Linked DNA regions of Lytechinus pictus. The protein of the gene in region 4 purifies or fractionates together with the protein of the main gene of each other region. This does not show direct contact. Links are inferred from orthologs where the notes say so. Each region holds a gene or a part of one and is shown on either strand. Other genes may lie near its edges. The genes, in order: 2-oxoisovalerate dehydrogenase subunit beta, mitochondrial-like; lipoamide acyltransferase component of branched-chain alpha-keto acid dehydrogenase complex, mitochondrial-like; 2-oxoisovalerate dehydrogenase subunit alpha, mitochondrial-like; protein phosphatase Mn(2+)-dependent 1K-like.

Region 1 (7,056 bases), on a different chromosome or scaffold from region 4:
CTCTTAAATAACTCAACATATGTTCCATATACTAGTTAAATGTGATATTTTGAACACAGTTATTTTCCAGAGATATCTTGATAAATACTCGTGCTGAATCTTTTTACAGGGTATCTTACTTGTAGTTAATGTATAAAAATCATATTTTAGTACTTTTGTTCTATCTAAAGCAACAAGAATGATCCTTTCAAAAGAATAATTAATTTGTTGGGTGATAAAGTAATAAGATATTCATTTTTCTCCAACAATACCACATGGATAACACAGCAACTGCTGTGTGAAGAATGTTCCTTTTATGTTGTTTTTATAACTAGATGCAAGAAAGGGTTATAGTGTCCAATATTTTCATGTTTCTTTTCCATCAAAGTTTGTTTAAAGGAAAGTAGTTTTGTCACCTTATGTGATAGTTCCTATGTTCCTATTTAAGTATCTCAATTTAAAAACATGTGCTAAGTTAAAGAGTGCATCATAAGAGTCTGTTTATATAAAAACTTATCGTTAAGCCAGTTTTCTTTGTACTTTGTTTCCAAGCAACAGGGTTTATGCTGAATATAAAACTTTGCAAAATAAAATGTACTTACTTACCGAAGAAGGTAGTAGCAGAATGTACAGAAATATGCTTACATATCTTGGCAGCTATTTCTAAGATATTTTACCTTGCTTAAGCTTTCTGCTTTCTTTCAATACTATTGTACAAAAAAATGAACAAAATTTGCTGCGTGTAGACCAATGAACATTTTTAAATGCTTCTCTATTAATCACAAATACAATTTTGCAGTGATGAACACCTTGAAATTTGGTTTTATATGAATCTTACCTTGCCTTCCAATGTTATATGAAATGTGTGTTTTTTATACATGTACTTACATGTAGAAATATTTCCTTGATATTGCAGGACCAAACATACTTTATTTGACAAATTTATTGATAGACATTGCCGAACAAGGGCAATGTATTAGTGATTTGTCATGTTTTTGTAAGTCATGAGCACATTGTCTATTTGTTAAAAGATTACCATAATGGCTATGTATGTTAAGTTGATAATAAGCAGTAAAAATTGTTGCTGTTTCAAGAATTGTCATAAGAGTGCTAGAACAAGAGAGATAATACTGCAGCATTTCGTTTTGTGGCCGTTTTAGAGAGTTAAAAGTATGCAATTCAATTTTTTTATACCATGTTTGTACAATATTTAATGAATATTATATTAAGATGATAGACTTGAAACAGAAAAATCTAGTTCAAAATAATATAAATAATAAACATTGATATTTGCTTGTAGGGTCACATCATGAAAATGAGGATGAGATATTAATGTTGTTTACAACAATAACAAACATCATTTAGTATTGCGCTGACTAAAATGTATCTGATAAGCTGTTTTCTAGCTCCTAATTGTAAAGATTGATATCAATACATGCATTCATTTTGTAGACTTTTTCACACAAATTATTTTTTTTAACATGTTAAATATGCAGTTTTTGTTTTAATTTGCCTCAGGATAATAGATGAATTTAATCATGTTTATGTTTAAATACCATTTACTTGAATATGAAGCTCAATAATACATATATCATGCTTATGATCAATTTGAAGTTGAGTAAACAATGCCAACAAATATTCTGTGCTGCTGTTCTGATTTTGAGGTAAATTGAACAATTACATGCATATTCATGTTTTGAGATATCTTCCAAGATATCTTGTTATCAAAAGCAAGTATTTATTAAAATTGTATTAATCATTTTATGCTATAAGTAATCAACTATTTATATCCTTGTATGATTTTAATGATATTAATGTCATAACCGTATTAAGATGTAGGAATAGATAGCTATTTTATATGCCAGAAATTATTATGGATTTTCCACATCAAATCTATACAATATTTTTGTATTTACACTAGGTCTTTTTTATTTCAAGTATCCCCAATGGTTGCTTTATTTAATAACATGGGAGCTTATACAGTATATGTAACTGTTCTTAAGAATCGAATATTAATTACTCTGGCAACTGTGTTAGAGTGTACATGAACATACATGAAGATGAATTATAGAGCACATGTAGGATATCTTTGTTGACAGAAAACTATACTATTAATATGCAATATTGAAATGACTGCTTAGCTTTGTTTTCAATCATGAGGATAATGTAAACATTATTATTGAAGGAAGTGAATCATTGTAATTTTCAAATTTACTTGATTTCTTTTTTTTTATTTGCAATAAGCGAATCACATTTTGGGAAATTGATGTGTAATCACTTTTGTTGTGATCAAAATGCTGCACGGAATTGAGTAATTATGTAAATAAAACAATACACGCTTTCTTTTATCTATCTAATTTTAAAAATCTTAGTCTTTCAAATACGACAGTTACTTTAACTTTTTAAGTATATGAATTTAATAATCATTTATTGGGGTATCAAAGCAAAAATTGAAACATTGAAAACTAGTACGTTGTTTTGTAATTAATGTTAATGGGCATCACAATTTGTATTATGAAAATGTTTGTGTTGATTTTTCTAAGATAGATTTTGTATTTTGTTTGCCATGTTGTGAATTTGTCATTCATGTTCTACATGGAATGTTTTCTGTTAACTTCTAGGTTCTGTACTGAGGATGGATAAAAGAAAGAGAGTAATTCTTCAATCTTATAAGTGTTTATATGATTCACAATGGGTGATTTCAAGTTCAGTGTTGGTGTTGGTGTTGGATGCACATTTTGGATTGTGTTTCCTAGTTCCAAAACCTATTCTGAGTTAAAACAAATATTCCAGATCACAATATTGACAGCTCAACACATAGTGAGTGACTTTTCAAGACCATCTTCATTTTATGTTTGGTGTTACACTCATGTAAAAATTGACTTAATACCAACACCAAGAGGTCAACACTGAACTTGAAATCACCCAATGATAAACCAAGTCAAAATAGTCTTGTTTTTTATGGCTGAATATAGTACAGGGTGTTTGTATAAAAAGGGTTTTCTTAAAAAAGATATAACTTCTATCTGCCCTAGTAATAGATGAAGTCAGAGAATTAATTCTCAAAACTTAGCACTCATTGCTTAGGAATTGGCATTAATGATTTGAGTAATTGTGTCACATATCTAGGCTATGCTGTATGTTGAGCTTCATGAATAAAGTGAATGAACCATGTTTTTTAATTTTAAATCACTATAATTGTGTAAACTGACACTAAGGGATGCACAGATATTGCAATAAAAGATATATTTTCTTGCATTGTAAAATGGATTCTTCCTCCAATCGATCATGTGTTAAATTGTTAAAATGCCGCTTGTATTACACATGTCTGTACATGAATAAATTACTTTTACAATGAAACATAATGGTACATAAGGCATGCTTTTAATTTACTGTTTCTTTTAAAATATACTTTGTTTCTTATTTTGCTCCTTTTGAAACTGGATATTTTTTACATCTTGATAGTTTTACAGCACGGCTGGTGCTTCAGGGGGCGGGAGGTGACCATCCTTGCATGATTTTCCAAGTGGTGAAAGAGAAAAAGAAAAAAAGAGGAGAAATTTGATCATATAAAAGAGATACATCTGAGTTGTATAACTGTACAGTACACCCCTTCTAATTAACCTGGCCCTATCAAAATTCCCCTCCCCCTGATTGAAAGGGATCCTTTTAAACTTGGAAATTGTTATTCAATCATCTGTTAGTTTCCCTGACAACTTTAGGCAACATACCATGCATCACTTTAAGCAATTCAGCAACTTTTTAAACTTTGTTCAAATTTGGGAGAAATGGTACTTTAATTCTTCCTGTCGCTCTTATTTCTTACTTATATTTCCCATTCTTTCTTCCTCATTTTCCCTCTCTGTTTTTCACACATTCTGGCTCTTTCCATCACTAATGCTTTTCCAGGGGCGGGGGCAAGACACCTTGATTTACAGTTTTTTTAGATTAGAAAGGCCGGGTATTAGTTACACACCATGACCTTTCTCTTTTTATTTTCGTTACACATTTTTCTTCTTTTTTTCGCTTGAAAAATCATGAGCATGCAGTCAGAGAGAATACCGAGTCGAGAACATCCAGAACGACTAGACGAGTCGAGTGGCTGTATGTATCTGGGCGAACTCGAAATACACCACAGAGCGAGCGCGTTTTACAGAATTGGGCCGACGTGTGTAGAACTAGAGGTTTACGATGGCGCTACTCAGGCAAATTTTCGGAAGGGTGACTTCCAAGTCATTGCAGGAATTGTCTGCCAAGAAAACACCTGTAATAACGAATGGATCGAGAAGGTTGGCTTCTGCATTTACATTTGTCCCTGATGCAGCCTCTCCATCGGATGGTAAGGAAATTGTCTGGAACTGGAACAGTCTCGATCTATAATTTGCCAAACTTGTCATTGTTTTCAATAAGTGGGACCGGGATGAACGTCACGTCACGGTAGGCCTACACGGGCTACAGCTCCCGGGCCGCTCTGGTGCTGGACGTTGGACCGGGCCGATGATGTGATCGCGAAGCTAAATAGATCGGCGCTAATGCAGTTTCGCACCGGCTGACATCTAGCAAATTTTTCCATCAGTACTATACTGCCTTGTGGAAAAATTTGCTCGATGTCCGCAAACGTCATGGCGTTAATGCAGCTTCACACCGGCCGACCAATCCTGGCGATGACGATGTTAAACTAAGTCTTTTTACCTCAAAATATTACTATTACTAGACTAGTAGTATTAGTAGGGATGCCACCCCAAAAAATTGAAATGGTGTAGCCTAGGCCTAAATTTAGTTTTAAATAGTTTAACTGGAATAAGCTTTGAAGCACGAGTAAAATGACACCAAGATCATGAAAATTGGACCACGGGTTGCCGAGATACGGCAAATTCAAATTTTGAAAAAGCCGATTTCCTGCCAGAAAGTCGCCAAAATGGAAAAATTGTATTTTTTGCCATTTTTAAAGCTACCTATTTTAAAACTTGATGAAGTATAGAGGTTGCTTTTTCTTGGGGCACCTAACATGTAAACCACCAACAAGTACCTGAAAAATTGGGTCCAAACTACTTTTCGTTTTCATATTAACGGAGTTCAAAAAATGGGGAAAACACAAATTTTCGCCTATGGCACCAGAGGAAATTGGCAAAAATGACTAAGTCCATCTAATTAGTATGCGAAAATGGCTTAATTTGAAAGTGGATGGGCAAGTAATCACCAAATTTCACAGAGGTGCAGAGTTCTTAAGTTTACTTCATATCTGTTTTTCTTGTGAGCATAAATATAATACTATGCAAATTAGGTAATAAATGAATATTAATTTATACATAACGAATGGGAAAATTGCCTAACTAAAGTTATAACTGATTTGAATGGCAAAAGCCAATGCTTAATACAAAATATTATTTATTAAGAGGTCCTTAAGACTAGGAAATTTAATATTAATCTCATATTGATGTAACTTCCAATCCATACTAAAAACTCTTTTATAATTATATCACTCATTATTGAATACTTTGAACCTTAAAAAAAATTCAATAACATTTCACACTACTAGGGTTTAAATACAATAAATGGATCGGCAGATTAACGTAAGTGCGCACGCGCAGTAGAAAAATCATTGAGCCGGGGTACATGGTATCATTTATAACATACAATGCAATGTACTTCACACATACCCCGGCCTCGCCCTTGCCGTTAGCCTTGGAAGTTAGAACGTTAACTACTTTTCCTCAAATAAAATAAAATCGATAAATTAACTCAAGAAAACACAGCTCAACACTCGTAATTGTCGTATACAAAATAAAACGTTCAGCATACTTCGCAAAATACCACTGAACACAGCCACAAACTCAATACAATACATGCACCCCACGCATTCACAAGCTCCCTATCACAGAACAAAATCATCCAATGACATGGGCAAAATCTCGAACAAAAGTGAAATTTTCTTATCTAAATGACCACATCTCGCACTAAAAATGTCACAATCGCATTTCCTTAACATCATAATTAAGAAATACGGGGTCTAAAAAAGTGGATTTTTCGGACGATTTCGCGATGTTAATGGATTTTGGAAACATGTCGTCACAAAAAATTGACACTTACGCGAGCCAATGCGGGTCGCTATTTTTTCCCGGAAGTCATTCATATAACACACGGGCTCATAGGAGAGAATGTGCAGACTCGGTTACTGAGAAAGTGAAATTGGCATACCTGGTTATATTATCTCAAATATCTGAGTGATTAAGTTATCAGATCATCATTAAAATGGCTAGATATGAAGTGTAAGAAATCAGGATTGTGCAATTACAAGCGAAATTGACAAAAGTTCCTTTAGACATTCAGAAATCTTAATTCTAATCAACTTACCAACGATAGACGTTGTTCTGGTCTTCCAATACTCAAATTTCCCGCCCTGCGGATATTTTCGTTGTCAAGGAAGTTAACTCAGAATGTTCCTCTTTGACATGGGGGTTAAAAAAATGAAATTGGGCAATAAGATCACTTCTCTAATAGAGTTTCAAAATACTCTTCACATCCCGATCCCCCCCCCCCCCCCCCCCCCCCCCCCGCTTAAGATCAAATTCTTCGGTCCATAAATTTTGATCAATGGGAATCAGCTGATCATTATGCTAGGATTTCATCGAAGTCGTAGTTGAGTTATGTGTCAGCAATGGGTATGAAAATATAAGAACTTGAAAGAGTTTTTCGTCAGGTTAATGTGAGTACTATTGTTTTTGTTGTTATATGTATACTTTTTTTGCATTGTTGGAATAAATTTAATCATTCCTGCCAAGAATTTGTGAAGATAACCATCGGCATTGGCAGGAATTTCTCGGCGCGCGAGTGGCATCCCTAATATTAGTATCTGCCCGCAGCAGCACTCACACGTATTGCGAGGTTAGTATTAGTATACTAACCTCGCTCCATGAACCGCGTTTGGCAGTTGATTTCTAAGTAGTGGGTCGCGCGTGCTGGGATCCCACTTCTGGTTTCCACAACATACGACTTCTATGGCTTGATTTTTCTGTGCGTGGCGGCATGTAATGAACCCTTGGGTGCGCAGCAGCTCACCCAGGCCATGCTTTTGCA
Region 2 (7,758 bases), on a different chromosome or scaffold from region 4:
CCTCAGAAAAATCAACGATCCTCACATGTTACACTCTAAATATGTGCATGAAATTTCCATATAAGGATATCGTGACCTTTCCGATCATGACCCTGTATTCTGCTTCCGTGGAAACCAATTTATGGTCACACCGCAGGCGATTTTACCGTGTGGCTTGGATTCTTCATATCTCCGGTATTCAAGTGTATTTCCGAAGAGTGAAGTACTTGTTGTAAAGGTTAGGAGTTACATTTTTTAGGGATGATATTATTTTGTCCTGAAAATGAGTGTAACTAGCAAGGAAATGGCTTTGAATTGAGCAAACCAAATTTTGGTTCACATACTACGCGCTTGACTTCAATCATGGCATCCGCTGACTTCAGCGCAGAACATACACGAATACTCCAACTCACCGGATGGACTGCCGATGAAATTCACTCTCTTGTACACGAACGGAAATGTCCTGGTGAGTAGATTTGTGCCGATTACGTATTCTTAATACCCGATTGATTGGATTTTTATTATGAAATGATGTGAAATGGTTGTGATTGTGACATGAAATGTGAAAAATGTCGATCTTTTTCAAATATCTAATGAACAATTTTGCCGTGATTGTGCAGAGGGAGTGCGCGCAAAATTGCACAGCCATTTCTCCAGTCGACCGGCCACATTCGCCGACCGAATTTTTCTTTTCTGCGCATGCGCAGTTTAAGGTATGGATATTCCATTGCCTCTCTCCCTCCCTCTGGAACGACTGTTTTCATTTTCCTCGTACGTTTTTCAAATCAATAGTTGTGTGATGTCAGGCAATTCAAGAAATTAGACTTGAAAGTCAAATTTGTCACTTTTAATTAATTGTTTGGTCATATTTACTGAATTATTTTGTCTCAATTGTGCCCATAACCAATTCTTTTCCTTTATTAATTAATTTTTTTTTAGGGGGGAGGGGGAGGGGGTGGGGGCCTCAAAGAGACATAATTACAAAAGAAACAAATTATACTTTCAAATGGGCTTTAAAAATTATTATAAGCTAATAATTATTTCTCATTCTCAGAATTTCTTTATACCATTGCTGTGAATATTGAGACACTAGTTTGTGGTACATATAATATGAATGTCTTTCAAAATTTTGTACCAGTCCACCAATTAATTTTTTACTCTTACACTTTATACAAACCTGCAATCAAAAATCTACCAGGCAGATTTTGGAAAATTCTAATGAAACAGCATCTGTTATATTATTGTTGTGCTAAAAAAAAACTCAAGTTCAATGAATGAGGTAGAATATCTTATGCAGACTGTCCAATGGCTTTTACTATGCCTTGAATGCCCTCTTATCCCTTCTCATCAGGTTGTCCGCTCATTTGTGTCTGGCTGCAGTTTCCCCTTTCTCGATTTGATTCCCTTGGCTGTTGCTCATTGTCCTTGTCATGACCTACTTGAAATGGGATGAAGATTACAGTTATTTTTTGTTAAATTGTTTGAAGTCAGAATTCATAGAAATGTATTAAACATCAATGTTATTAAAAATTCAATTTATTATGCTAAAATTGGGAATATATTAAAATATCTAATGAAACAGCATCTGTAATATTATTGTGATACTTGAAAGAAAACTCAAATACCAGCCTGGATTGACTTGTGCAGCAACTGATCATTCAATTTCAGAACTGCCAAGAACAGATATGTGCTGTCTTTGGCATGTTAATAATAATATCCTCTTTCATTAAGGTTATCTGTCCAGTGCTGTTCTTAAACTCATTTTCAGCACTGTATAGGTAAAAGATAAGTGTTGTGAAATCATAAAGTTTATCAACCTTGTATAACCCATATGAAAGAGACAATTTGTAGGATGGTTTGATTGTTGCCGATGAATCTTTGATGAATTATGTATTAATAATTATGCATAAATTAGCTAATTTGCATAATAAATGAGCTAATTTGCATATTTGTCAAATAAGATTGTACAAAAGTGGTGAAAATTAAAGGTCTTAGTGCAAGAAAACATCTTGCCAAGTTTCATTGCGTGAAACCTAATATAACTGGAGATATTGCATTTACGCATATTAATTAGCTCTCATTTGCATATTTTGAAGGTTTTTCTGTGGTTGCGGATGGGTGATTTTGAATTAATAGGTCCCACTCTGACGACTATAATTCAGCAGTAACTTACTCATGTGATCCCGTTTTTGCAGACTGTGTAGAACACAAGTGCTATAGCTATGTTTAATTGTTTTTAGACACTATATAATCATATTTTTCATGTGACAGATACTTGAATTTGCCCAAAAACGCATTTTTTGCCTTTTTAGGGCGATTTTGATGATTTCCGGCAGGTTTTTACCCTTTTTCCGATAACTTAAATCGACCATAACTTTACCAAACATTGGTCAATTTACATGAAGTTGGTATCAAAATAAAGCTCTCACAAAGCTCTATAAGACAGAATGGATTTTGAATGGATATTAGCTAGTTTTAATTTTTGTGTGCTATCCCTACTATAAGTATAATCCCTATATTTTTTTTCTTTAATTTTTACGATAACCATGATTGCCATCCCACCTTTTATGACTCGGAATATCCGATCTAGTTCACTGTCCCGATGTTCGGGTAGGTGGAGTGTAGCGGTAGTGAAGTGGAGTGGAGCCTGCACGAACATCGCCCGAGGTAAGGCTGAGCTAGCCCTGCCCCTGGGAGCTCCCTGGGTTAACAATAACATGGTTAATGTTGAGCGAAGTTCGCCGGGGAAAAGCGCAGTATGAAAGGGGTATTAGATTGGGAATATTCTCAAAAGGCATCCTACAATCAAGTTTATGTCTAAATTTAAAGACACCCAGTAATATCATCTACTATTCTAACGATACTTACTTGCAGACCTGACGAAAGACGGCTGTAGAATAACAAATTCTTGGGCTGCAAAAATCTCAAGTAGCTCGCCATTTTGTTGTTTCTAACGTTGATGGCGCTCTTCAATTTTTTTTTGGCAGAGTTCCGTGCGTGGCGCGCGCTGGCCGAGTGGACAATCAGCTCAGGGGTTCGCTTGACATTGGTTTCACGGTGGGTGGATGGATGGGTGGATGGATGGAGGTGCCGTTGCCGAGTGGTCTAAGGCGCCTGGCTATACATAGAAAATCTGGGGTTCGATCCCCGGCCGCGGCACCTATCCCCGTGAGCAAAGTATTTAATGTACAATGCTCTTTTATCCTGCTTTCAAATAAATGGAAATGCTATATGCATTATTGGTAACTTGGTGTGCACTTGTTAAAAAAAAAAAAAAAAAAATGGATGGGTGGGTGGGTGGGTGGGTGGGTTGGTTGGTTGATTGATTGATTTTGATTTTATTTGGTTCGATCCCTGGCCGCGGCACCTATGCCCGTGAGCAAGAACGTTCTACGTTAGGTAGGTAACGTAGTTACCTTGGTAACTATAGGTGTGCACTAGCTTGTTAGAAAAAATCTACACTACAGACTCTGAGTTTTGGTTTCAAAACTATCAGTATTAATAGTTCGCGACTTTACATAGAGGTGGATTTTATCGATTGATTGATTTTGATTTTATTTGGCAAGCCACCATAACATAATAAACAATAGTATTAAAAACAACAGGCTTGCACACAGTGGCGTAGCTACGGGGGGGGGGGGGGGCACGTGCCCCCCCCTGAGATTTGGTGTGCCCCCCCCCCCAGGTGCCCCCCTGAAAAAAAAATGGCAGAGCAAAAAGAAAGAAAAAGGGAGAAAGGAGAAAAGAAAAAAGGAAAAGAAGAAGAAAGACAGAAGAAAAAAAAGAAGAGGAAAATAAGAGGAGGAAGACTTGCAAAAAACCCAAATCTTTCATGTTACTATATAATACTTTTGCTTGCGCTTCGCGCCAGAACTGCCTGTTTGATGAGATTCATATCTTGCTCAATAGGCTGATATGGAGCAAGTTTTGAAGTCAATATACAAAATATATTTTAGCTCAGACATCGAGCTTTCATCAATTTTTTTTCATTAACAAATTTAAGCGCTCTAGCTGTAAAATGTCCCTTTTATAGTCTACATATCAGCATTTTTAAGCTCACGCTGCTTGGTCAAATTGTTTGATTTGCCAAGTTCCTATTGTCTACGTGTATTCCATAATGTTCCATTAAACAAATGTATTATATTAAATGTACTTAAATTATCCAGTTTCCCAGTTTCACATCAGAATATCAATAATTGTCTGCTCACGCTTCACGATCGCATTATTAATGATACCCAATAATTAACTATATCCTATCTATGATTTACAAAATATAAATAGAGTGTCCCGCTTTTAGGTCTAAAATCTCAATTTTCTTCCTCTCGCGCTTCGCGCTCGCATCAATTGTTAAGTTACATACCTATCCCATTTATTAATACAAAAAGTGCTTAGAAAAAGATGACAATTTTTTAGGTCGGAATGTCAAAAAAATTTGCTCGCGTTTCGCGCTCGCATTATTAAAATATATACCGTCTTTGTGGGTAACTGTAAGCAGTCCTTAACAGGTCCCTTTTCGATAATGCTAGAACAGTTAATAAAAATTTCTGCTCGCGCTTGGAGTTCGCAGTAACCATCTAGTTACATACGAATCTTGTTAAGGATCACACATAACATTGCCCAGAATATTTTCAGGACAAAATACATGAAAGTAAAAAAAAAAAAAAATCGCTCGCGCTTTGCGCTCGCACTTTTTATAAGGCTTATGAGATTATTTCATGTTTATGTTGTTTTATAAGAATAAAACTAAGAAGTGACTGATCGGGGGAAATATAGGTGAAGATAATTTCGGGCCCCGTCCCCTATTGGCGAAAGTCGGATCCGCCCTTGTGACACATACACACACAACGGAAAAAATGGTGCCCCCCCCCCAGTGCCCCCCCCCCCAGGAAAAAAATCCTAGCTTCGCCACTGCTTGCTCAGGATGACCCACTAAAGCTTATTTTCCGTGGGGTCTTTGACATGACTGTATAGAAATTGTACCATTTACACAAAGAAAACAAAGAAAAGTCAGGATTTACTATTAGCAATAAATAAGTTATAGAGATGATATATACACTTGAAAAACAAATCAGTCAAAAATGACTAGTTAATATAGGGTCAGCTGGGTGCAGCTGTCAATCTAGTCATATTTGATTATTTTCTAGTCGTATTTTACTGGAACAGAGTTATTTCTGACTAGAATACATGTCAGAAATGTGCCTATCAGTGATTGCCATATCAGTTGCACCCAGCTGACTATACTGGTCTAGTCAATTTGACTGATTTGTTTTAAGAGTGTACACAAAGAATAAGAAAATAAGAAGAAGAAGAAGGAGAAAAGGAAGAAGAAGAAAAACAAGAAGAAGAAAAAGAACAAGAAGAAAAGAAGAAGAAGAAAAGGGACTGGAGGAATAGATTGAAGAAGAAAGAGGAGGAGGGGAAGAAGAATTTCAAGAAGGAGGAGAAGGAGGAAGAAAAGGAATAAGGAGAAGAAAAACAGCAACAACAATAACAGCACGAAGAGGAGAATAAAAGGAAGAGAGAAAAGAAAAAGAAAGAATAGAAAAAAAACTTTAATCAAACTAAAATAAGTAATAATATCTGGCAGAGAAGAGAAAAAAAAACCATGGTTAGTATTGCCACAGGCTAAATTAACCGTGTAATATTATCATTTGCGTCTTGTGAAAGATATTCTTTAATTTTTTTTCTTAACATTATGAAGACCGGGGTTCGATCCCCGGCCGCTGCACCTATGCCCGTGAGCAAGGCATTCATTTATTCGACGGTGCTCTTAATTGTCCTGCATTCAAAGAAATTAAAACGCTATATACGCTTTCTTGGTAACTAGGTGTGCACCAGCTTGTTAAAAAAAATCGACACTACTCTGAGTTTTGGTTTCAAAACTATCAGTATTAATGGTTCGTGACTTTGCATATAGAGGTGGATTTTATCGATTGATTGATTGCTTGCTTGATTGATTGATTTTGATTTTATTTGGCTAGCCACCATAACATAATGATATAAACAATATATTAGTATTAAAAACAACAGGCTTGCACAGGATGACCCACTAAAGCTTATTTTCCGTGGGGCCTTCGACATGTATAGAAATTGTACCATTTACACATTAAAGAAAACGAAGAAAAATCAGGATTTACTATTAGCAATAAATAAGATATAGAGATGATATATACACTTGAAAAACAAATCAGTCAAAAATGACTAGTTAATATAGGGTCAGCTGGGTGCAGCTGTCAATCTAGTCATATTTGATTATTTTCTAGTCGTATTTTACTGGAACAGAGTTATTTCTGACTAGAATACATGTCAGAAATGTGCCTATCAGTGATTGCCATATCAGTTGCACCCAGCTGACTATACTGGTCTAGTCAATTTGACTGATTTGTTTTAAGAGTGTACACAAAGAATAAGAAAATAAGAAGAAGAAGAAGGAGAAAAGGAAGAAGAAGAAAAACAAGAAGAAGAAAAGAAGAAGAAGAAAAGGGACTGGAGGAATAGATTGAAGAAGAAAGAGGAGGAGGGGAAGAAGAATTTCAAGAAGGAGGAGAAGGAGGAAGAAAAGGAATAAGGAGAAGAAAAACAGCAACAACAATAACAGCACGAAAAGGAGAATAAAAGGAAGAGAGATAATAAAAAGAAAGAATAGAAAAAAAACTTTAATCAAACTAAAATAAGTAATAATATCTGGCAGAGAAGAGAAAAAAAAACATGGTTATTGCCACAGGCTAAATCAACCGTGTAACATTATCATTTGCGTCTTGTGAAAGATATTCTTTAATTTTATTTTCTTAACATTATTAAGACCGGGGTTCTATCCCCGGCCGTGGCACCTATGCCCGTGAGCAAGGCATTCATTATTTTAATCGACGGTTCGACGGTGCTCTTAATTTTCCTGCATTCAAAGAAATTAAAACGCTATACGCTTTCTTGGTAACTAGATGTGCACCAGCTTGTTAAAAAAAATCGACACTACTCTGAGTTTTGGTTTCATATCAGTATTAATAGTTTGTGACTTTGCATAGAGATGGATTTTATCGACCCCATTTGATGCGACTTTGTCATTTAAATATTACACAGGAGAATAAGATTGTTATATCCACCTCTAAAAAAGGCAGGTACGTAACATTAACAGGGGGGTGCCGGGAAATTATAAGAAGGAATTTGGGTCTATTTTTATATATGAATTGAGTAAAAAGAAAACAAAAATCAATAGACCTAATTCTTAAAAATCTCTCATTCTCTTAAAATTTAATGAAATAAGAAGAGCATGCTTGGCTGGCCGCATGAAAACAATTATCATGCGTCCTTTCTGCGCACTTTGCCATGCATGCAGGCCTATCCAGCATGAGATTCGGTACTGTATCAGAAGTTTTTAATGGTTTTTTTTTTTTTAATATTGTATACATGTACTTCAGAGTTCGCACTTTACATTGAAGCTGCTCTAACAATAAGAACTCTTTCCTGCCCCGTTCCATTTCCATTTTTGCTGCCCACCCCCTCCCCCGGTCAATAAAAATTCACTGTGCCTATCGGGCGTACATGGGGGGGGGGGGTTGGGCAAGAGCCCCCCCCCCCCCGCAATTTTTCATGACCAAGAAAAAAAAAAGAGACAATTAATAAAAAGGAAAGAGAGAAGGGTAAAATGTGACACTCAGTATTATTTTTTTTTACATTATATCAAATTTATCACAAAATTTGATTTTCAGTGATAAAAAAATGTTAAAATTTTTGTTCACTCACTGGCAACCTTTATGAATCTTATGTGAGGCCTACGCCGTG
Region 3 (7,602 bases), on a different chromosome or scaffold from region 4:
TCGCTATGGCCAGCACATAATACGCCTGCCTTGTAAAGCAGAAAATGGAGTTATTGATCAAGCAAGAAAAGTGGAAGGTGGTGACTTCACCTTTGACTTTCTGACCTCGAAATCAATAGAATTGCTGGGATCTATGCTGGTATCATACACACCAAATTATATGAGCCTAGGTTAAGTTCAACTAAAGTTATCGTGTTAACACTTGAGACTTCAGAAGGGTAAGATGAAAATGTGTCACTGTGATCTTGACCTTTTGACCTTAAAATCAAAAGGCTTCCTGGGATCCATTCTAGTATCATACACACCAAATTATATGAGTCTAGGTTAAGTTAAACTGAAGTTATGTTTACAAGAACTGCAGAAAGGTAAGATGAAAACATGTCACTGTGACCTTGACCTTTTGACCTCAAAATCAATAGGCTTCCTGGGACCATGCTAGTATCATACACCCCAAATTATGTGAGCCTAGGTTAAGTCAAACTAAAGTTAACATGTTTACAAGGAAAAGTTAACAGACGGACGGACACCGAGTGTGATACCATAATACGTCCTGTCTAGGACGGGCGTATAAAAATTGGTATAATGACAATCATAAATCTGATATAATTATATTTCCACCTCATTATATCAGAAGCATACTCGGTCAAAAAAAAGGTTTTGGAGCGTCCGCCATGTATAAACTAGTAATATCAATTTATCGGTGATAAGTTTTTTTTAGGTGGAAATATAATTATAGTGTAATGTATAAAATCGTTATAATTTTTTTGTTAATGTTAGTTGAGTCACGCTGGTTCTTGGGAGTGTCCCGGCGTCATATGAAGGTATAAAATTTTGATTCATATAGGTTCTGGAGTAGGCCTACATGCCTGGGCAAATAAATTTTTAATTGAATAAAAATGCTTTCAAGAAATTATACATGTAGATCACTTGCTCATAAACAAATCAGTCAAAACAAAGTTAAACAGCTTCACAACAAGTTTCACTGTTTTACATACAATTGGCCATTATTATTATTATCATTACTAGGCCAGTATCACTTATCATGAACCATGTTATCACATTTATTTTTTTTCAGAGTTGATTTTCATCTTGTCCATCATGACCTAATTTCAATGTGAATATACTCTTTAATTAATTCTTCTTATCATATTATATCATAATCATATTTTTTTATGGGGGGGGGGGGTTGCGGCACACAATAAAATGGTGGAATTACTGAAAAGAAAACAGAAATACTAGTAAATGATTAAAAGGAAGGAAAGAAGGAAAGAAAAAGAAAGAAAGAAAGAAAGAAAGAGGAAAAAGAACAATAAGAAGAGGATATTTTAATTCAGTAAAAAAATTATTCCAAGGCCAGATTGAATTTAGCAGAATACAAATGGTTGACAAATAAAAATTTTACATAGATTCAATAACAGTAATTCATATGACCAAACATGAACTTAAAGAGTTAACACTCATTAAAACATCTCAAGGAAGGATACTTATACAAAAGAAAAAAGAAAGATAATCCCCATCCAGTGGCTCCTATGATGAATACATCTCTGAAATAATAAGTGATGCACTTAATTACATTGTATTTATTTCATATCTTTCAACCATTATATTATTCTATATATAACATATATCTAATACAGCAAAATAAAAAGAAAACAAAATGAAGGAAAGAACACAGAAAAATAAGAGAGGGAGAGAAAGAAAGGATACAAAAAGTAAATAATTTTTGAGAAAATTGAAAAAAAGGACAAATAAATGGAAAGAAAAACAAAAAAAGAAGGAAAGTGAGGTTTTTTTTTTTCCTAATTGTATTGTATTCATTTAAAAATATCTTTCAATCATAATATAATTCTACATATAACCTAAATATTTAAATAAAACATAATGAAAAGATAAAATGAAGGAAGGAAAGAAAGAAAAAAAATAATAGAGGAAGATAGAGAAAGAAAGAGGGAAGGAATCAAAAAGTAAAGAATTTTTGAAGAAGATTGAAAAGGACAAATAAATGGAAAGACAAAAAAAAAATAGGAAAGCTAAGAAAATTCCAGAAAATCACCCTTTTCTGGAAATTTGAATCAGCTGTATAATCTTGGCAGCAACTGGTCAGATTTGGACCATCTTGGTGTCATTTTAAATCATCTTCAAAGGCCTTTTCACTGGCCATCTTGAACATCTGAATTAGATCATTTGAATTTTATACGGCATTATCCTGGTTTAACTTTAAGTCATTAGGGCCTACTCCATTTACTGCCGTTTATTTCGTCAGCAGCAGTGACTTTTCAGCTCTCCCATTGACTTTGTACACAACGAGCGCACACACACACACCGACAACCACAAGAAGAGAGGTGACTTATTTCAGGATAAGGCCTAATTTTCAGGTTGACATCCCTACTTTTGATGATGAATGATGCAACAATTATTTTCTATACTTTTTCCCCACTTTTTATGATTTTTTTGCCTGTGTCGCTGGCGTTTTGCGCGTGGCACATGAAGAGCTTGTGGAATTTACGTGTGTCGCATGCGATGCATGTTTTCTACATTGGCGAGAACGTTGCCGCGAGGTATGGACACACGCAAAGTCTGGACTCGACTCACTGGCATACTGACTGTTGCATTACCGTCATGACCGTCAAAAAGGCCAATGCACTGACATAAATATGAATAGATGGGGCCTGACTTAACTTAAGACTGACTGGATAACTGCTTTTTTAATTTTAACGATAAATTGTACTTCAAATTCAAGTAAGGCGTTAGGAAGCACTTTCAGTATGTAATCATATTTTGCTTACCGAATAATATATACTTCTAATTTGCTTCGAAGCTAATTGCTGAGCAGGAACTTTCACCTGTTTCTGATAAAAACGTAGGAATCGACATGATCTTTGGAATAGTGACGCCATCATTACTACTAAAGACTAGACAAGTGCTATCGCTAGCTAGTAGTCGATGGCATGGTGCGAGTGCTCGCGCTCGACGATCACGTCGTATTACCGGTGGGTGAAATACTATCAGGGAACACTTCCCTGATACTATGAACCAACTAGCCATTGTTTCCTTATAAAATATGAATATGCATGATTATAAAAGAAATTTTCACCTTCTTTTTTTTTGCACATCATATACATTTTTGTGATGGTTCTTAGTTCAAATGACCCGTTTTTCGCATATTTTTTTTTTCTTCAAGTAAGTACCGGTATATAGTAAGAACTGCAACTTATTTACGAATTCATTTTAAAAACAAATTATTCTAAATCGTTATCCCGATATTTTTCTCATAATAAGTGTTCATCTTGGGTTGAGGCTGCATGCAGAGTGATACAGAGTCATGTTAAAGCATAGAGATATCTTACTAATTTGTATATATCTCTCTCTATGTGAAGGTAGACAACTTTCACCAGTTTCTGATAAAAAGTATGTTCTTTGGAATAGTGCATGCCCAGGCCCAGCTAACACATAACGTAATAACATTTTTTAAAGATCTTAGAAATGCTTTAAAAACATTAGAACATTTGCATAACATTAATGAAACATTATTCCCTTTATGTTCATCATTGAATAAACGTTATCCAGCATATAGGCCCTAATTAATATTTTCACACAACCCGCCAAAACCTCCTCAGCAATTACTTTCCCAGCTCTAACAACCCTTAGGAAGTGTCTACGTTCTTCTACTGTTACTAGCGATCTCCGACCTTAACGGACGAAGGATACAAGAGAGATGGCCTGACAAGAAAACATTTAAAAGACATTTTTTATTAAAAAAAATCAGAACATCTTATCAAAATGTCAAATCTTGACGTTAAAATGACATGAAAGAAACATTCTTAAGAATATTTTTATATAATGTTAAATAACATTTTTAAAACGTTCTTATGATGCTATGGCAATAAAATCTAAAAAGTCATGAAAATATGTTTTCGAAATATTTCAACAAAACATTTTTGACAAAATGTTTGTTTGATATTCTCTAAAAAATGATCAAAATATGTATTAGAAACATAATAATTTTGACGTTTTCGTGATATCATTTTAACATTTTTGAGAAACAAAATAGCATTTTACTAACATCTTCATAATGTTTTACAGTGGATGTGAAAATGTAATTCCAAAAACGCTGTTAAAATAGTTTGACATTAACATCAAACGTTCTTGAAAGGTTATGAAACTATGTTAATATAATATTTTAAATAAGCGTTTTTGAAAAATGTTTTCCTAATATTTTTCTAAAACGTTTCTGAAATATATTTTAGACTTATTTCCCAATGTTTTTTAAATATGGTTTTCATATTTTTTCAGAAACTTAATAATATTTTACTAACATTTTTGGTGAAAAATTCACATTTTAAAAGTATTGTTAGAGTATTAAGACAATGACATCAACCTTTGTAGAAACGTATTGATATGTGTTTTTATAATAGTTCAACAAAACATTAAAATAATAATAATTGCCAAAAATATTTCAAAGTATATTTGAAACATCCTTTTTTTTTAGTGTTTTTAAAATACAATTTTAACTTTTGTTAACTTTACTATCATCTTTATAAAGTTATACACGGGATCTAAAAATATTTTTAAATGTTGTTATAATAACATCGTTCTTATAATGTTATACATTATGTAACAAACATTACAAATATGTTGTTAGAATACTATGACAATAGCATAAAACATTCCCTAAATTACATGATAATATGTTTCTCAAATATTTTAACAAACATTTTTTTTTGAAATTATGTTTTTAAAATGTTATAAAAAAATGTATCAGAAACATACATATTTTGACTTTTTTTAAATATCATTTAAACATTTTTCTAGAAACAACCATTTACTAACAACTTTATAATGTTATGCATTGCTATGCATTGGGTGTGAAAATAACATCAAACGTTCTCGAAAAATTATGAAAATATGTCATTGAAAAAATAACTAAACATTTTTGAAAAAAAAAATAGTTTTGTAATATTTTCCCTAAGTGTTAATGAAATATAAAACAAACATCCTTATTTTGATGTTTTCAGAAACAAAATAATTCACTAACATTACGATAAGTACATTAGATATAAAAAAAAATCCCACGTTAAAACATTGCTAAAACGTAATAATAATAGCATTTAAGGTTGTATAAGTTGTGAAAATATGTTCTCAAAATATTTATGCTAAATAATATTGGAAAAATTGTTTTCCTAAAACGTTAAAAAAAAATTATTTCTAAACACCTTCTTTAAAAGTTTTGATAATATCATAATAATGATTTTTCACAAACAAAATATTTTAAAAATGTTATCGGAGTATTACATGAATAACGTTAAACGTTCTAGAAAGGTCACGAGAAAGTATTTAAAAGATATCATGTTGAACACCATTTTATTATTTTTTTTTTAATGTTTTTCAAAACCCTATATACATGTAGATAAGAGTTCATGTTAAACAAAACCATTTTTCACATTTTCATGATTTTTTTTCAGAAATCAAAGAATAATCTTAATAACACATTTTCAATTTTAAAAATTTGCTTTCAATGTTATCAAAATGTAATGACGTCAACATGAAACGTTCTATAAAAGTTACCACAAAATATATATATTTATTTTCCAATTAAGCCTTTTATTTTAACATTTGTTTAGCGTTTTCAAAAATGTTAATAGAATTTATTGGGATGTTTATTGTTTTAATGTTTTCATAACATCATATTGACATTTTCAAGATAATCTTTATTTCACTTTGAAAATATTGATTACATGATGAAAACAAAATGTTTTGAAAAATATTATTACAATATGATTAAAATGATATCAAACGTTCTAGAAAGGTCATGATGAAATGTTTTGACAATATTATAAGGACATTTTGATGGATAAAAAAATGTTGGAAATTATGTCGAGGAAAACCATCTTTAATGTTTTTATGACATCTAGATAACGTTCTTAAACAAGACCCAACCTGCAAAATCTGGTTGCAATATAGTTTCATAGTGGTTAAGGCACCGGCGCGCTGCGGCGTTCAAAGCTGGGGACATGGGTTCGATTCCAGTAGAGGCACATTTTTCGGGATCACCAATTTTTCCAAAGGGCAGATAGCCAGTTCAGTGGCGTAACAGGCGGGGGGGGGGGCACCTTGCCCCCCCCCCCCTGGCGAATTTCACCGGGAAAAAAAACGGGAAAAGGAGAAAAGGGAGGGAGAAAGAAAGGGAAAGGGGAAGGGAAAGGGAAAAGGAAAGGAGGAAAGGGAAAATGAAAAGAAAACGAAAAAAAAATATATAGTTTTTAAATGGAAAAGGAAGGAAAGCGGGAAAAAAGAACGAAAGAAGAACATTTCAGAAAGAACTAATCATTCCGATATAGGCATATCATAGGCGGATCCAGCTTTTGGCGAAAGGGGGGGGGGGCGCACTGCCGAGCGGCGCACATATTTTTGCACTTCGCCGGCGCCATAAAAGAAAATGTTGAAAAAGGGGTAAAGTCTGACCCTGTCAAATGCTCTTTTTAAAATGTAGGATTTCCAATCATGCCATTTTGCATGACCACACGCAGATAATATTTCCGGGGGGGGGGGCAAGACTCGAAAATTTGGTGCACATCTCACATTTGCAAATTTTTCATAGTTTTCATGAAATGTTAAGGGAAAAAAAATGTTTTTCACAACAGCAGATCGCGAAAGTGCCCCCCCCCCCTTCCCCCTTGCTGCGTACGACCATTCCCTGAAGTCCACTTAAACATATCTCATTATAACAGAAATATACATCAATTTAAACATATAATAATTCTAAAACATATATAGAGAGAGATCGAAAAACTTATTAAAGAAAGAAACAAGCAAAAAGTAACACAAATTATGCATGTTATGTGCGATTTCAAAATCTCGTGTATTAATCCTTTTATTGCGATGAGGCCAATACTTTTGTATCTTAATAGAGGTACAAGTTTTTTTTACTATATGTATATATATATATATATACACAGGGGCGTCGATTCTTTTTTTAAGATTTGGGGGGCAAAATCATGAATCAACTTTCCAAAGGCGCTCGATATCACACAAAACAAACAAACTCACACAAACACACACACAATATGCATATATATATATATATATATTTATATGACTCATGAGATAGAAACACATATCTCACCAACAGTGGCGTAACAGGCGGGGGGGGCAGGGGGGCAAGTTGCCCCCCTGGCGGATTTCACCGGGAAAATAAAAGAAAAACGGGAAAAAGAAAAAAAAGGGGGAAGAAAGAAAGGGAAAGGGGAAGGAAAGGGGAAAGGAAAGGAGGAAAAGGGAAAAGTGAAGAAAAAAACGAAGAAAAAACATTTTTTTTAATGGAAAAGGAAGGAAAGCGGGAAAATGTACGAAAGAAGAACATTTGAGAAAGAACAAATCATTCCGAAATAGGCCTATGTAATGCAATAGCAAGGTGGGAAATAAATTAAAAGATGGCAAAATGGCAAACAATAGCGGGAAACGAAGGTAGAATGTAATTAGTCAAAAGCTAAATTGGAACAAAAGAAAAAGGGACAAGAAAAAATGTTAACACGGCCGGGCTGCCGATGATTGAAATTATAGAGCGGGAAGAAAGATGGACTGCATACAACATTGTGCTATAA
Region 4 (7,896 bases):
TCTTTACAAATTGAAAGAAGGGAAACCCCCCTACACACACCCAAAATATATTTCAGGAGCAATCTTCCAATTGTATTTTATAAAGAGGACTTTTGGTTGAAATTTACTCCTCAATATACGAAAAAACATCGAGTATATAGGGGTGTGGGCTACTAAAACTAAAGCACTAGCCCGTTGTTTTTCTGTACAAATTGAAAGAAGGGAAACCCCCCTACACACACCCAAAATATATTTCAGGAGCAATCTTCCAATTGTATTTTATAAAGAGGACTTTTGGTTGAAATTTACTCCTCAATATACGAAAAAACATCGAGTATATAGGGGTGTGGGCTACTAAAACTAAAGCACTAGCCCGTTGTTTTTCTTTACAAATTGAAAGAAGGGAAACCCCCCTACACACACCCAAAATATATTTCAGGAGCAATCTTCCAATTGTATTTTATAAAGAGGACTTTTGGTTGAAATTTACTCCTCAATATACGAAAAAACATCGAGTATATAGGGGTGTGGGCTACTAAAACTAAAGCACTAGCCCGTTGTTTTTCTGTACAAATTGAAAGAAGGGAAACCCCCCTACACACACCCAAAATATATTTCAGGAGCAATCTTCCAATTGTATTTTATAAAGAGGACTTTTGGTTGAAATTTACTCCTCAATATACGAAAAAACATCGAGTATATAGGGGTGTGGGCTACTAAAACTAAAGCACTAGCCCGTTGTTTTTCTGTACAAATTGAAAGAAGGGAAACCCCCCTACACACACCCAAAATATATTTCAGGAGCAATCTTCCAATTGTATTTTATAAAGAGGACTTTTGGTTGAAATTTACTCCTCAATATACGAAAAAACATCGAGTATATAGGGGTGTGGGCTACTAAAACTAAAGCACTAGCCCGTTGTTTTTCTGTACAAATTGAAAGAAGGGAAACCCCCCTACACACACCCAAAATATATTTCAGGAGCAATCTTCCAATTGTATTTTATAAAGAGGACTTTTGGTTGAAATTTACTCCTCAATATACGAAAAAACATCGAGTATATAGGGGTGTGGGCTACTAAAACTAAAGCACTAGCCCGTTGTTTTTCTTTACAAATTGAAAGAAGGGAAACCCCCCTACACACACCCAAAATATATTTCAGGAGCAATCTTCCAATTGTATTTTATAAAGAGGACTTTTGGTTGAAATTTACTCCTCAATATACGAAAAAACATAGAGTATATAGGGGTGTGGGCTACTAAAACTAAAGCACTAGCCCGTTGTTTTTCTGTACAAATTGAAAGAAGGGAAACCCCCCTACACACACCCAAAATATATTTCAGGAGCAATCTTCCAATTGTATTTTATAAAGAGGACTTTTGGTTGAAATTTACTCCTCAATATACGAAAAAACATCGAGTATATAGGGGTGTGGGCTACTAAAACTAAAGCACTAGCCCGTTGTTTTTCTTTACAAATTGAAAGAAGGGAAACCCCCCTACACACACCCAAAATATATTTCAGGAGCAATCTTCCAATTGTATTTTATAAAGAGGACTTTTGGTTGAAATTTACTCTTCAATATACGAAAAAACATCGAGTATATAGGGGTGTGGGCTACTAAAACTAAAGCACTAGCCCGTTGTTTTTCTGTACAAATTGAAAGAAGGGAAACCCCCCTACACACACCCAAAATATATTTCAGGAGCAATCTTCCAATTGTATTTTATAAAGAGGACTTTTGGTTGAAATTTACTCCTCAATATACGAAAAAACATCGAGTATATAGGGGTGTGGGCTACTAAAACTAAAGCACTAGCCCGTTGTTTTTCTTTACAAATTGAAAGAAGGGAAACCCCCCTACACACACCCAAAATATATTTCAGGAGCAATCTTCCAATTGTATTTTATAAAGAGGACTTTTGGTTGAAATTTACTCCTCAATATACGAAAAAACATCGAGTATATAGGGGTGTGGGCTACTAAAACTAAAGCACTAGCCCGTTGTTTTTCTGTACAAATTGAAAGAAGGGAAACCCCCCTACACACACCCAAAATATATTTCAGGAGCAATCTTCCAATTGTATTTTATAAAGAGGACTTTTGGTTGAAATTTACTCCTCAATATACGAAAAAACATCGAGTATATAGGGGTGTGGGCTACTAAAACTAAAGCACTAGCCCGTTGTTTTTCTTTACAAATTGAAAGAAGGGAAACCCCCCTACACACACCCAAAATATATTTCAGGAGCAATCTTCCAATTGTATTTTATAAAGAGGACTTTTGGTTGAAATTTACTCCTCAATATACGAAAAAACATCGAGTATATAGGGGTGTGGGCTACTAAAACTAAAGCACTAGCCCGTTGTTTTTCTGTACAAATTGAAAGAAGGGAAACCCCCCTACACACACCCAAAATATATTTCAGGAGCAATCTTCCAATTGTATTTTATAAAGAGGACTTTTGGTTGAAATTTACTCCTCAATATACGAAAAAACATCGAGTATATAGGGGTGTGGGCTACTAAAACTAAAGCACTAGCCCGTTGTTTTTCTTTACAAATTGAAAGAAGGGAAACCCCCCTACACACACCCAAAATATATTTCAGGAGCAATCTTCCAATTGTATTTTATAAAGAGGACTTTTGGTTGAAATTTACTCCTCAATATACGAAAAAACATCGAGTATATAGGGGTGTGGGCTACTAAAACTAAAGCACTAGCCCGTTGTTTTTCTGTACAAATTGAAAGAAGGGAAACCCCACCTGAGGTCTCACAGGCCTAATTCATTCCCCATAGACTCGTGTGTTAAATTGGCACTTTAAAAAATTCATAAAAAATAAGGATGAAATTCGGGGGTCGAATGTTTACTACCAGTGGATAGGATATATATCTGGCAATCCATATCTGACCAGAAAAGGGTCCTTCGACTGGCTCATTTTAAAAATAAATTGGCGTGTTTGAAGACAGCGTCGGGGGGAGCAGATTCATCACCTCAAACAGCAAAATAGCCCTAATCCTTCCGCCAGTCAAAATACAGTCCAAAATTGGTGATATTTCTTCCCAATTTGGGAAAAGGAAGTTCAGTAATTACCAAAAATAGAATCAGTGTTAGATGGAAAATCATATGCATACACTTTGTCAATCAGCCATATCAAAATTAAAAAAAATGGCAATGGGTTGGCTCGAATGAATATCTATGGCCTGCCACTAGTGATTAGGCCCGTGTAGCCCTGACCCCGTTTGTTTGATTTCTACAAGAATGCACGCTTCTCTTCTTGCGCAAAATCCTGTATCTGATCTATCTTATATCGCGATATTGTTGGCTGGAACTGTTGGCTGGCTTGCTGTTGGCTGGCTTATTGTTGGCTCACTTGACATAGGCGATGGAGCCTGCCCTTGATCTGTCGGTGGGGATCGCGACTGCGACTGGTCATGTTGGTGATTAGTGAGATTGAGACTGAACTGGAGCTACATTTTAGCCAGGACAGCAATTTTTAAATGAAAAGTGGGCATTATCCTTGTTTAAGTCACCACTCCATTCACTGCCGTTCATTTCGTCAGCGGCGGTCACTCATTCAATGAACAAGGTTATGATATAACCTTGTAGTTGTTCTCAATCTCACTTATCTCAGTTAATCTCCATGTGTGGCAAAGTAAGGATGGCAATGTTTGGCTTATTTTCTCTTTTTCTTTGGGACAAATGCTTGATTTTTTTACACTGACAGTTTCCATTACACCTATTCGTCATACAACTTGGCCTTTAAGTAAATTTGATTCTTTAAAGGTAAATGCTAGTTTTGGTAACGATATCAAAATGAGTTCGTACAGAATCCAATGAAATGACCACCAAAGTGTCTGTTTGTATAAATAAAACGCATGTGCCAAAGGATTCTGGAAGAAATTGTGTAATTGCTGAGAAATCAGCAAATAAGCACAGGATTCGGGTAGAGCGTCGGGCCCGACGCTCAAGGCAAAAATTATACACTGTCCCACGTGCGCTTATCTGTGTTGGGGAAGTTCAGTCTGAACATTTTTCAGCGTAGATTTCAAGATTTCACAAAGTTCAGTTTATGTAACTGTACCAGATCTAGATCCTCGATGATATACTGACAATTAAGCCTGGTTTTACAGACTTTCTCATGAAATCAGTGTTTACTGCAACTACTGGAATTTCTCTTTAAATTATTTTTTTCTTAATTAAAAATAGAGTTAAAAAAATGAAAATTTTCTTGCCATATTATTTTCCACCAAAAGAGGGCGTACACAAAAATATGCCCAAAATTCAAGTTTTTGAGCGCTCTAGTGAATACAAAAATTATTCCCAATTTACTAATGAAAAATTAATTGCAAATGTATGGAAATTAGTAATTTTGGTCACAAAAGTGATCATTTTTTAAAGTGTGTGCTCTGTACAGCATTGGTATACAAATAATGCATGCAGCCGAGTGCGTTAGTGGAAATGCAGAGCACGCGAGGTTTCTTTAGATAGGAGTCGCACTGTGCACGAGCCGCTTGCGGCGAGTGCCCAGTGTGCTCCATCTGAAGAAACCGAGCTTTCTCTGCATTTACCTTTACGCACGACAGAGCAAGTGCATTATTTGTTTTATAAAATAGCAACACAGAAACAATTTTTTTTAAAGTTACAGTACAGTTTTGTTGGGCTTCTACCGCACTGGTTTGCTCGAGCGTGCAATGTCAATTTTCGTTGCACACCTTTTGCACTACCGTGCAGTGCACAAAAAAAGTTGGATGTCATGTGACGCGTATTGACCAATCGCGATGCTTGAAATAATACAGCTATTTTATAACATGCCATAGTCCAACCTGTAGATTCCCCACAGGCAGGGTGGTTGCAGTGAACAAGTGGCGGCGGTGACTTCTTTCATCTCCCGTTGATTTTGTCTTTGTAGTATTGTACACAACGAGCGCACACACACGAGAAGAGAGGTGACTTATTTCAGGAAAAGGCAAAAAAGTGTAGCAAAGGTGTATAATTCAGGGAGAGACTAATCATGCTAATTCAGATCAACGTAATCACTTGACACCCGTCACTAGTCACTACAACATCATCAGTACTAGTGTGACTGCGAGGCCGAGCCCGAGGTTAGTATTACTTTATGGTCAAAGATACTAAGGAGTAAGGTGAAGATTGGACACTTTGGCGATTTTTTGAAACGCTCGATAAATGCTCATGGGGAAGGACGCCCACTAGCGTTGAGTAAGTAAACCATCCCACATCGGCACGCTGTGTATAAAAGTATAGGGAAAATGAGAAGGTGGACTTTGGAGAGGGCTCAAGTCAAGGGCAGCGCATGGGCATAATTCCACCTTTTATTACCCAGAAACCTCTTAAATATATTCATCTCTAATTAAAAAAAAAAATTGAAATATTTTTTTTTAATGTAAAAATCGTATATTCCTTCACCCCTTCACCATTTCATGTTTTGTACACAACCACTCACACATGCACACATGCATGCGAGGTTAGCTATTGGCTAACCCAGGGAGCCCAGGAGTCAACCGTGCAAAACGAGGAAGACACGGGACTGGGGTAGATAGGGATCTCAAAGTAATCTTAATAAAATGTGGAAACAGAAATTATGCACTTACCTCGATTATATGGATGAAGGTCTATTGTGACACAGAATCCTGACATCGAGGCACAAACTGGACCCTCAAAAAAAGTAAAAGTTAGACGTCTATGTCGCGTTCGCTTTGGCATTGATCGGCTATTTTGTTTTCAATTTTAGCACACTCATATGGTAGCATATAACTATTGTCTTTCTTTATGATTGAAATAATGCATGATTTATTGCTTTACCCTATTTTCTTCTCATTTTAAAGCTTTGTCATGGGACACTCTGCCCACTGATTTAACTAATCTAACATGGATCTAAATGTTGGTACCTGCCTTCACCACTTCCCATATCTTTTATTCACACAGGCACAGGGTTTTTTCATGTCTCATTTCAGTTGTGTCCAACCATCATGGTGATGTCATCATGCTAAAAAGGAACTTTACCATGTTCAGGAAACTCTTGTTATTGGACTATAGCACGATACCAAAAGTGCTTCAAAACAACATACGAAACATGACTCGGTCAGAGATTAGATGCAGTCACAGATTGAGTCGCTCTGTAAATGCGGCATCTGCAAGATACAGTTCATCCAGTCGTGGGGTCAACTGGGATAACTTTGGAATCTGGGACAGCAGGATCGAAGAGCCCATCCTTTTACAGCAAAGCATCAAACATGGTATCCCCATACCAAAAATATCTGTTGGGCGCATCGGAAAGGAATCCCTCATCGGTCGCAGGGCAGAGAACGAGGATCGGATATGCATCAAGGAACTCCGTCCAAACCTTCTTTATGTTGGTATCTTTGATGGACATGCTGGATCCATGGCAGTGGACTATGTGCATCATAATCTAGAGTTTCATCTCAACTTTTGGTTGGAAAGAGAGTATGATTTACAGATTGTCTTGAAGAAAGCCTTTGAGGATCTGAACAATAAGCTGACACGCTACCTCTACATTCATTACCCAGGTACACAAAGTAGCCTAGGTTTATATTGTAAGAAATACTTTGAAGGGTAATAACAAAAGGAGGAAACAGGTAGAGAGATCATAGTATAGTTTGACTCTTATCACTCTGGTTATATTTTTTTATATGCGCTGACTGAGATGTAAATTCCATTTTAAAGGCTTAGCCTTTGTTTCCTGAAATAATTATTTGTAAGTGTTGTGACCTTATTGGATTTGAATTTCTGGTACAATATCTATCGGGCAAGACTGTTGAGACTGAGTTCTTTTAGATTATACTTTAATAATAAGGCATTCAACATTGAAGAAAAAATATGAAGCTTTCATCCATTTTTGGCCTCTTGGAACACTTTGTTGTGGACTGGTAATGCATTAAGTATCCAAACTTTTCTTCATTCCAATACAATACAGAACCTGAGCATGAGCATACAGGTTCAACGGCTACTGTGTCACTTCTACGGAATGGAAATGAGCTTGTCTTGGGCAATCTGGGTGATAGTCGTGCCATTCTCTGTCGTAATGGGAAGGCGTTAAGATTGACTAATGACCATGATCCAGAGTACAATACTAAAGAAAAAGAAAGGATCAAAGCGTCTGATGGATATATCACGTAAGATTCTAGACAAATACCCTTTTCTTATACACCAATACCATTATGGCTTATTACTGATCACATCGGAAAGCATTTTCTGAAGCCTCTTATAAAGCATCTTATATTACTGCCATATATCTTTTATGAATATGAAGAACAAGATTAACCCTGAAACGGTTCTAAAAAAAGCCAATGTGTATCTTTTTAAAAGTAGTGCATCTTCCATCTATGCAACACCAGAAATGTTTTGTCCGCACAAAAGAAAGTGAAATAGTGTAGTTATGAGTTGAAATAAGTCACAGAATTCTGGATGTCAATTTCTCAAATTGAATAATGATGTGGAGTTTTAGGCTTTGTGAAAACAAGAAAATCTGGAGAACAATAAATCAATTACAGCATGATTCTCCTTCCAGCTTTACAAACACTTATTCCTATTTCAATTTTTTGGGTGGTAAAAATCATGCAATGCTAATCTTTGATGTACTCAATTAGTAATATTACCTTTCACTATACTTTGATTGTTTGTTATACAGCTGGAACAGTCTTGGGAAGCCCCTTGTTAATGGTATATTGACCATGACTAGGAGCTTTGGTGACATCACCCTCAAGAGATATGGAGTCATTGCAACACCAGAAACAAGATCATTAGAGGTAAGTATTTGGTGAATTTCTGATTGGTCAACACACACTCTATTTACGGTACTTTCCATTTGGTATCGTCTCACATTGTCTAATCTCCATCTACAACCTGTTCATATAACCATTTGGTCTAATGGTC

The links.
Region 1: the proteins of protein phosphatase Mn(2+)-dependent 1K-like (region 4) and 2-oxoisovalerate dehydrogenase subunit beta, mitochondrial-like purify together in Homo sapiens (affinity purification with mass spectrometry; 3 studies listed by BioGRID and IntAct, counting the BioPlex papers as one, with this or other methods). This does not show direct contact. The link is inferred for Lytechinus pictus from reciprocal best matches to the Homo sapiens genes PPM1K and BCKDHB.
Region 2: the proteins of protein phosphatase Mn(2+)-dependent 1K-like (region 4) and lipoamide acyltransferase component of branched-chain alpha-keto acid dehydrogenase complex, mitochondrial-like purify together in Homo sapiens (affinity purification with mass spectrometry; 4 studies listed by BioGRID and IntAct, counting the BioPlex papers as one, with this or other methods). This does not show direct contact. The link is inferred for Lytechinus pictus from reciprocal best matches to the Homo sapiens genes PPM1K and DBT.
Region 3: the proteins of protein phosphatase Mn(2+)-dependent 1K-like (region 4) and 2-oxoisovalerate dehydrogenase subunit alpha, mitochondrial-like purify together in Homo sapiens (affinity purification with mass spectrometry; 4 studies listed by BioGRID and IntAct, counting the BioPlex papers as one, with this or other methods). This does not show direct contact. The link is inferred for Lytechinus pictus from reciprocal best matches to the Homo sapiens genes PPM1K and BCKDHA.

Annotation. Positions count from the first base shown.
Region 1 is NC_087248.1:8,417,399-8,424,454, forward strand, and holds the start of 2-oxoisovalerate dehydrogenase subunit beta, mitochondrial-like, read left to right. Parts: upstream 1-4,044; 5' UTR 4,045-4,170; coding exon 4,171-4,318; intron 4,319-7,056. UniProt on the Homo sapiens protein: Together with BCKDHA forms the heterotetrameric E1 subunit of the mitochondrial branched-chain alpha-ketoacid dehydrogenase (BCKD) complex.
Region 2 is NC_087255.1:5,971,248-5,979,005, forward strand, and holds the start of lipoamide acyltransferase component of branched-chain alpha-keto acid dehydrogenase complex, mitochondrial-like, read right to left. Parts: upstream 3,022-7,758; 5' UTR 2,920-3,021; coding exon 2,848-2,919; intron 1-2,847. UniProt on the Homo sapiens protein: The branched-chain alpha-keto dehydrogenase complex catalyzes the overall conversion of alpha-keto acids to acyl-CoA and CO(2).
Region 3 is NC_087251.1:40,230,990-40,238,591, forward strand, and holds the start of 2-oxoisovalerate dehydrogenase subunit alpha, mitochondrial-like, read right to left. Parts: upstream 3,005-7,602; 5' UTR 2,902-3,004; coding exon 2,788-2,901; intron 1-2,787. UniProt on the Homo sapiens protein: Together with BCKDHB forms the heterotetrameric E1 subunit of the mitochondrial branched-chain alpha-ketoacid dehydrogenase (BCKD) complex.
Region 4 is NC_087262.1:25,080,771-25,088,666, forward strand, and holds the start of protein phosphatase Mn(2+)-dependent 1K-like, read left to right. Parts: upstream 1-4,892; 5' UTR 4,893-5,087; intron 5,088-5,928; exon of another isoform or gene 5,929-5,957; 5' UTR 5,958-5,986; coding exon 5,987-6,530; intron 6,531-6,937; coding exon 6,938-7,136; intron 7,137-7,651; coding exon 7,652-7,769; intron 7,770-7,896. UniProt on the Homo sapiens protein: Serine/threonine-protein phosphatase component of macronutrients metabolism.